Schizosaccharomyces pombe: one gene and its partner. The gene in region 2 interacts genetically with the main gene of each other region. Each region holds a gene or a part of one and is shown on either strand. Other genes may lie near its edges.

What was found.
Region 1: mutations in slx9 (region 2) and bcs1 together harm fitness less than expected from each alone (positive genetic interaction), as found in Schizosaccharomyces pombe (one large-scale study listed by BioGRID).

What each region holds. Positions count from the first base shown.
Region 1 is NC_003424.3:2,684,525-2,689,116, forward strand, and holds bcs1 (iron-sulfur protein assembly ATPase), read left to right. Parts: upstream 1-1,539; 5' UTR 1,540-1,881; coding exon 1,882-3,231; 3' UTR 3,232-3,297; downstream 3,298-4,592. Other genes in the region: utr4 (methionine salvage haloacid dehalogenase-like hydrolase), read left to right, coding at 3,671-3,739, 3,793-4,374.
Region 2 is NC_003424.3:495,424-500,414, forward strand, and holds slx9 (ribosome biogenesis protein), read left to right. Parts: upstream 1-2,633; 5' UTR 2,634-2,747; coding exon 2,748-2,750; exon of another isoform or gene 2,751-2,791; coding exon 2,792-3,307; 3' UTR 3,308-3,604; downstream 3,605-4,991. Other genes in the region: dop1 (family protein DOPEY), read left to right, coding at 1-2,266; erd1 (EXS domain-containing protein), read right to left, coding at 3,861-4,982.

The DNA.
Region 1 (4,592 bases), 2.2 Mb from region 2:
TTTTCATTTCATAACTTATGAAGTCAATAATAGTTTTTGAAAATGGGATTTCCTAATTTAGTCAATTTTGTGTTCCACGTTGCACGATGGTTAAAAACGGTAATTTACACTACTGCAACATAAGAAGGACTTGTAAGATATAGACATTAAAAAATAACCTCCCAAGGCGAGACTCGAACTCGCAACCTTCTGATGACCATCATAAGAGTCAGACGCTCTAAACCGATTGAGCCACTCGGGACTTGCTTGTATTGTGTTAAATTATGTACAATTATATAATAAAGTCTTTAAACAATGAAAGGCATTGAAGGTGTTCAGCTTGAATGAATTCTTTTTAGTATGTTCATTGATCTCGAAAGAAAAAAGAAATGAAATGAAAAACTCAAGGTTTGTAAGTATAACTTTTTTGGTTTTGAAAACGCTTGAATATGATGTTGAACATTGATAGCAGGGTAACCAGTATATGTAAATATAAATGCATCTTGAAAAACCTGTATAAGAAGTGCAAGTGGGTTAAAATACATTGATTTGAGTATATAAAGAATTTCTTAATGTTTTGGCAAATTCGAAGACTTTTCCTTTCTTAGCTTTTAACAATGACTATTTCTTTCCTCCCAAGTTCTTTGTTGATGTTTCTTTGTTCGCCAAGAGAATTTTCTTTGTCAAAATCTTTGATCTTTTAAAGAAAGTGTGCATATACATAATCACCAACTCAGTTCAAAATACAATTTGAATTTCATACTAAAGTATGCCCAATGATTTTAAAAGTCATTAGTTTTTTTCCAAAGTACGATCTCTTACGAATACCTGTAAGAAAATTAATATTATACATCAGCCTCGATTTAATTATGTTTTGGATGCAGCTTTAGTTTTTAATTATATTCATCAAGTGCAAAATTGCAAATCACTAACATACTTGCAAGCGTTTTTTCTGCCATGAAGAATCGGGATGTATATGTTCTACATCAATTACTTATCTTAGTGTGAAATGCAAATTTATATGCAGTTATTTTGTTCTGAATATTTATTATATGCTACCATCATCAATGTGATCAAGTCATTAAAAAATTTATTTACAGGCTCTAACATTTGTATCATTTCTAAAGTCCAGATCAAGCGACCTCGGAAGAAATTTTTTCTTAATTACTCAATTGCTGTCACTGGATAGGTTTGATATGATACTTTACTTTTGATCTTAGATTTCCAGACTCGCAACAATTTCTAAAAAATTGGGTAGTAAACACACACATGTAGGCTGGAAATATTAAACACTAGCAAGATGCATCCTTCCAACATTTTACATAAAATATTTCAATGTCAAAAGTTAAATATTTTGCAAAGTTACTCTCTCTATTTCAAGCAGAACCTTTCAAGCTGGTATTAAAAGTTTAAAACAAACATTAACAATGTGAAAAACAGTTTCATGTAATTAGCTTTATACTATTCTTTAGTTCTAACATATCTATTTCGCTCCTATCGGAAGTCATAGACTTTTGGAATTTCTTAGCAAAGCACTAAATTGTTGGCTACATGAACCTCACCCAGAACCTCGTTCATACCAAAAACTCCTCCATTTTTTCTCAACATTCCAATAAAATTGGATTATATAATTTCTTCATTGAACATTTTATTTCTTTTTTGTTTGAAACCTATCAATTACTGGTCATTTTGACATATGCGTTTTGACATTTGATTTACTACAATATTTTGTTATACATGTCCTCCGTAAAGAATTGATTATATTCATAAAGGTTTAATTGTTTCTATGAATTATTTATACCAAAAATTTCCTTTATATGCAAGAAACCGCTATCGTTACGTTGAAGAATTAAATTAATATTAACTTTCCTCCCTTCTTCTCATCGTCTTTCCACTTTAAAAATGGATAATATAGGTGCTGCCGATGCAGCGACGTCTTCTGGCATTTCTGGGTTACTAAGTGGAAATTCATTTTTAGGTGCTGGTATTGGTTTAATGGGTTTCGGTGCTGGGCTAGCCATATTACGTCGTGGGCTTATTTCAGGAGCAAGCTTAGTAAAAAGAAGGATGCTAGTGTCTGTCGAAATTCCAAGCAAAGAAAAAAGTTATAATGCCTTTTTGCATTGGATGAGCACGGTGCCTAAACGCTATTCAAATCAGCTGGCTGTTGAAAGCAACAGACAACTCAAAATGCCGCAAAATGCTAGGGAAAAACCTGACAAGCAAGTTGCAAATCGTATATTCAGCCTCGTTCCAGGTCCTGGAAAGCATTACATAAAGTACAAAAAGTGTTGGATTCAAGTAGAACGAGAGCGTAGCAATCGTCTGCAAGATTTAACAACTGGAACACCTTGGGAGACAATTACTCTTACCACTCTTTCAAGAGATCGTGGAATTTTTTCCGAACTTTTATTAGAAGCTCAAAAATTCATGCAAAGTGCTCAAAAAAACAAGACTACTATATACACGGCTTGGGCCACTGAATGGAAGCCTTTCGGGCACCCTAGATCAAAAAGGATGCTTTCTAGTGTTGTACTTGAAAGCAATGTTAAAAAAATGATTACAGACGACGTTCATGACTTTTTACGAAATTCACAATGGTATGATACAAGAGGAATTCCATATAGAAGAGGCTATCTTCTTTATGGACCTCCTGGAAGTGGAAAAACCTCATTTTTATATGCTCTTGCAGGTGAATTGGACTACGACATATGCGTTCTAAACTTGGCTGAAAAAGGCTTAACTGACGATCGTCTCAACCATCTACTTTCTAATGTACCTCCCAAGGCAGTAGTTTTACTGGAGGATGTTGATTCTGCATTTCAAGGTAGGGAACGATCTGGGGAAGTTGGGTTTCATGCCAATGTTACATTTAGTGGGTTGTTAAATGCACTCGACGGTGTCACTTCATCAGACGAAAGGATTATATTTATGACAACTAATCATCCTGAAAAGCTTGATCCAGCTCTCGTTCGTCCGGGCCGCGTTGACGTTAAAGCATATCTTGGAAATGCTACACCTGAACAAGTTCGCGAAATGTTTACTCGCTTTTACGGTCACTCCCCAGAGATGGCTGACGATTTAAGTGATATAGTGTGTCCAAAAAATACAAGTATGGCTTCATTGCAGGGTCTTTTTGTAATGAATAAGAGCTCACCTGCTGATGCTGTTGATATGGCTAAAGAGCTTCCTGATAATCCTCCTAGTACACCTTTCTCCTTTAACGTACACAGAAAGTCTTTGTCTGTATGAAATCCCTTAGATTTATTTAACTTAAAATGTTATTCGTTTCGTAATAAGCTCTACTTATCAATCTTGACCACAAAAAAAAGACATCTTGGTAGAAACATATATTGTACGCGATTAATCTATGAATAATTAATGAATTTAAAAAATGGTTAAAAAATAACTAGTCCGTATTTTCTATTCTAAAAGACAGGCATGCATAAGATAATTATTCAAATGCATGTTCTCAATAAAAAGCTGCAAGCTGTTGAAATTCTTTTTCCATATGTTTAAGAAAGTAAAATCCAATAAAATTCCAATTGTAATCTTAAATTATTTTACGTGATGCATAGCTGAATTCGCAAAGTACTAATCCTACTTACTGCACATCTTACTTCTTTAAAGTTGCATAAAACTTGTGTCCTAAAAGAAAAGTGAGTTGTACGGCATCTCTTTATTACAAAAAATGGTTAAAAATTTGCTCTTGGATATTGAAGGGACTGTGGGTAGCATTTCATTTGTCAAAGACAAATTGGTAAGTGAAGTTTTTTATTGAGAACAATGTAGATCGTGTTTAACCCATGCTAGTTTCCATACGCTGCTTCAAGATACGAAAGTTATGTTAATGAAAATTATGAAAGTGATGAAAACTTGCGAGAACTTGGAAAAACGCCTGAAGAGGCCTTGATAAATTTACGAAAGTTGCATGCTGAAGGAAGCAAAGAACGTTCCTTCAAAATGGTCCAAGGTCGTATTTGGAAAAAAGGTTATGAAAGTAATGAACTAACTTCACACTTGTTCCCCGATGTTGTTCCTGCTATTCAACGTAGTTTGCAATTGGGAATGCGTGTTTACATTTACTCCAGTGGGAGTGTTCCAGCTCAGAAATTGTATTTCGAGCATTCAGATGCTGGAAACCTTCTAAAGTATTTCTCTGGATATTACGATACTACTATAGGGCTTAAAACTGAGTGTGGCAGTTATGTGAAAATTGTGGGAAACTCAAATCCTAGAGAATGGCTCTTCTTGAGTGACAATATCAACGAGTTGAAAGCTGCAAGAAAAGTCGGGTTGCACACCGGTTTGGTGGTTCGTCCTGGCAATGATCCTGTTGTAGACACCAGTGGATTCCCCGTGTACAATAGTTTTGAAATTTTGTTCACGGAATAAAGCAATGGTGAACCCTAACGACCGTTTCGCTTAGAACAAAGTAATGAGTTTCTTTAAAGGACATGAGTTCTTTAAAAGAATTTTGATTCTCTTGTGCTCTCATTTTCTATTTCTTTGTGTTTTTTTTTTCATGATTTCTTTGAATACATCCGAAAATTAGTCAACGCAATTTCTTCTCTTAAAATATATTGAATTATTATAATTTTTTTAACCCAATG
Region 2 (4,991 bases):
AATGTTGAATGATGATCCAGGACTTTCGCCAAAGTGGCTACATGCTATAAAGAAGCTTTTACCTCTTCTTTTACAAAACCTTCAACTTTTGATGGTTAATCCCATTCAATCTTTGTGCAAATTTGTTCATTCATTTCTTGACCAACACGAGTCTATGTACCTAAAATACCCTGACCCAGTAAAAGATTATGCGTGCATGGATGTTTTTATTGCTAAGTTGAAAATGCTTAGCGAGTTAGTTTCAGCAGCCTTATTGGAATTCACATATTCACCCGGCCCCAAGAAAAGTAATTTAGAAGCCAATGGTATCATCGGAAATGTCATTTCTGGTGTGTTTGCAGCGGAGTCGTCAGGCGTTAGCATCGATGTCAACAAGAGATTATCTATGCTTTTAACTATGCAGGATGCTTTGCAAACATTATTTTTATCATATTCATGGCATATTCGGTCTTCATATGCTGATAAAACGTCAAAAGTATTTATGAATGATTCATCGGTTTTAAAAGAAGCATCCTTATCGGGATTAAAAGAGTTTTACTTCTGTGAACCTCTTGAATGCGTAGAAACGCTGGTACAAATCTATTTGGAGAACAATGTTGAGTGTTGCCAGTGTATATGGGATATATTTTCATTTCTTAGTGATTCTGAACCTCAGTACATTGTTAAGCAATTAGTTTCTTCTTTTTTTGCACGTGAAGGAATAGCTAGTTATGCAGGGCCTTCTAGTTTGACAGCAAAGATTACACAACTCGATATTTTATGCTGTATGTCTGACTTCGTCTCCAGAGTGGAGGGCGAAAACACATCTAAGATTTTTACGGAAATTTCAAAATTTGTTCGGGAGATTATTTCTTCCTCAAACAGCTTTAAAAACTATTTGCTGGTATGTTTACGAATGCTACTGGAAGTTGCAAAAAACGTGAACACTTATTGCGAATCTCGCCAGCAAAAAGACTTTATTGATTTGATGGGGAAAACATTGTCCTCAGTCTTATTTCATGCAGGAAAATCAAGTGATCCAAACCTAACTGTAGATTTTCTGGCGTATCATAAAGCTGCTGCAGACACGTTTGAGGTTGCCAAAACACAAAAGAAAACTAGCTCCGTGTATTTATTCGTAAAATACTTAGATCCCTCTTTGCTTGACTTTTTCTGTTCTGAGTTTGTTCCAAAAATAACCGAGCTTTCTAAGGAAGAAGATAAACTAGTTGCTTGGGCTACATCAATCGTCAATGTATTTATAACTCCTTTAGTAAAGGCTAGGACATTTCCGGAATCACTCACCACTTATCATTTGGACTTATTGCTCGTGTTGAGTAAACATCCGTTTTTGAGTAAATCATGGAGGCGCGATTTTTGGGAAATTTTTAATGATAATTCACTGTTCAGGTTCGATATTGATCAATTAAGAAAGCTTTCTCCAGTAATATACACAGCTTTGTACCAAGAGATATCTAGATTAAATGATCTCATAACAAAATCTGATTTAGGCGTTACTACTTTATTTACATCTCGGGATACTCAACTAGGTGCAAGGCAGAGCAACATATGTCGGATCACAATATTAATGTTATCTTCTCCACGTGATTTTTTCCTGCCTAGTCTTCCACCTCTGATTGACCTTGTCAAACGGCTTATAACGTCTGATCCTGAAGGAGTATTAAAAAAGGACCTGTTTTTATTTATTAGAGCTCTAGCTTTAAGGACCTCTTCGAAGCATTTGCTTCCATTATGGCCAATCGTTGTTAGCGAATTGTTGATCATTTTTAAATCTTACTGTATGCCAAATGTTGCCATTTCTAAAGAGACATTATTAGACGCATGCAGGCTTTTGGATTTTTTAACTGCACTCAAACTTGAAGAATTTGCGCTACATGAATGGGTTGTGATGCTTAGTCCACTAGATGCTGTCTATTGGAGCGGAAAAACTAGCCGTAAATCCCTCGTACAAAAGGTTTCTGAGCGACTTCAGGAGCAAGCATCGGAGAAGGACGACAAATCCAGTGTTGAATCCGAACATTCTATTCTTACTTCAACTACAAGAACCCCTTCTTTAGGCATTTACACAACGGACGCTCAATTAAGAAACTTTTTAAATCGCATTTCTATAGACGCTTATGAAGAAAGCTACTCGTTTTCAACAATCGACATACAATCTTTTGAAAATTCTATTTACAGGGAAGTTCTTCAAAGGTTTTCTAATGCTCCCCTATCTCCCTTTTCTTCAATTAAGGCTCCATCAAGCCTGGCTGGCTCCAGTAATTAATTCATAGTATTTTATATCGATTAGGAAGTCTAGGCTGTGTGGCTTCTTATGTAACTTCCAGTTACTCTAACCTAATTATTTTTGTATGTATTTTCTTTTCAAGTTTCAATGTTTATATTCGGAAAATGGCTATAGGGTTTAGTTTGCAAATACTTTAGGAACCATGTTGGACATTCATTTAAAACTGCTTTAATTTATAAAAATTGTTAATTAATGTTGTTTCTTAATTCATTGCACATAAGATGGAAATTAATGTAAGTTAAGTTTTTCATTTCAAATACTAATATTATGAAACCAACTTACGCAATCAAGGGCAGTCCGTTAAATCCGATGCCAATAGTTGTAGTGAATTTTTAAACCAGAAAGCACACCGAATATTCAAGATATTTCACTCCAATCGTAAATATTATTTTGGTTATATATCCTATTTAACATTTAAAACGATTTTTATCGATTGATTCACAATCAATTTTATTTTAGCATGGTATGTTCATCCATAGATAAACGTTTGGCTGACGACAACAGCCAAAAGCAAAAAAAAGAGTCAGTCTAGCGTCAAAAGCATCAAGTCGTTTACCGTCTTCTGGTAAACCTAGCCAACAAGCTAGTATTCCAAATGTCGAGTTATCTTCCACCGTTACTTCGAATAGTCAAGTGCTCAACAATGATCCGCTGAAAGAAACAAAGAAAGATAAACGGAAAGACCGTCATTTCAACTGGCAGCAAAAATTTTCTAATCCAAAAATATCTGCTTCGGCTCGTAAGCGCCGGAACCGTAAAGCCAGAGAAAACCTGAAAGTCAATGTGTCTTCGATTGGAGAAGTACTTCCAGAAATTGATCTTGATATTTCGGTAGCTAACTCCAGGTTGAAGCCCGTAATTAAGGATAGTTTATCTTCTAAACAAACTAAGAGTTCTATGAAACGAAATACCGTTGAGGAAATCGAAAGGTTCCAAGCCATATTGAAGCACCCTTCATTCGTTTCAAATCCTTTGGAAACGGTACGGGAGCACTTAGGAAACTCTTTGGATAGTAGATAAATAGAGCATGCTCATGTCTAGGTAAATTTGGAAGGAATTTGAGTACACTATAAATGCATGATTAATTTGGGGGGTTTTCTTTGGGAGGTTCTTTTCATACTTACTGATTATGTTTTTACAATAAAAAAGTCTACTGATCTAGTTTGTTATTCAGTATGCAAAAAGAGAGCTTGATTTATTTATTTATTATTAAATTCATGTTTTAAACTTTTGACTCAACAACTTAATCAGTAAAAGATGGTGAAATTTGTTCAAACCCATTACGATTCCCATGTAACAAATAAAAGTATATATCCATAATAAAATTTTAAGTAACTTTCTTACTTTAAGTAAACCCAATTCAGCGAGACGGTGCCATTGTGTTGCAAGTCCGCAAATGACAATGTACTTGCAATATTAAACCATTAGCGCAATAAAAGAATGAAAAACATATTATATGCCAAGCAAATAATAGAACGGTAAATTGATACGCCCTAAAGAAAGAAATTTTTTGAAAAGGTTGCAGATGTAATACCTACACATATGTGACAATAGTAACTTCAATCATTTCCATTTAATCTGGATGTATTGTCGGGATGTCACTACGATCACTTATGTTAACATAGGCCAATGATTTAGAAGCTTCGGCTTCTATCCGAAAAAAAACCCAAACACAACGTCGGAAAACTTCAAGAAATTGCATTATAAAGATCCCAAAGTCGGTGGTAAAAAACGCGGATTGATGTTCAGGCAAAACGCGAACTACCCAGGCCATTCGCAAAACAAAATCAATCGCACTTACAACTGCAAATGTGAATGTTGGGAATAAACGCCGAACCCCAAATTTCCAGTTTTGGATTGATAACGGTTGCTTAAAAAAGGGAAGACTCCAATCCATTGAAACATCCCACCAAAATGAATAAGTTGAATTTATAGCTGAAGAGGTATTCCATAAAAACCATAGAAAGCTAAATCTTTTCTTTGCAAAAATCCCAAGGAATATCGCTGGAAAAGCAGTGAAATACTTGATAGAATTCAATGTACTCCAAAATTTATCTGATGAATTATCCGCAGAGCTTCTTTCAATCAAACATTGACGAAATCGGATAGCGTATGGATACGCTGCAATCATTGACATAATAACCTCATTTTCATATTGTTTTCTATGAGAGTTATTAGGTGAGTCAGTTACGTAAATCAAGATTGCTCCAGCTAGCCAGAGATCAGCAATGACCCTCGAGTAAGAAGTCAATAAATCAGAAAATATAACATCGGGAAATTTGTAATCAGGTCTGTAGCTTCCTCCCAAAATCCTTAGACACTGTCGAGTAAACACCTTTCTCTGGAAGAACCAGAACTTATGTACAGGCATAAAAACAATAACACCAAAAATAAAAACGGGGACGTATGCCAATTCATCAGACCCAGAAATCAAATATAAGGATTCGGCTATTACGAAAAGTAGAGTACCTAATATAGATAGGGAGAATGACAATTGCCATAGAGGAGCATTAGCTTGCTGTGATCGATTGACAGGCAACGGAGTATGTAATAATGAGAACACGTCGACCCTATTTATCACTAATAGATGTAATATCAATGTGAAAGAATAAAGACCAAATACGACCAAGAAGAATAATCTCAATACTAGAGGAAAATAATTGATAAAGTGATTCAAATCCTCTATCAACGCCATATTAAATAA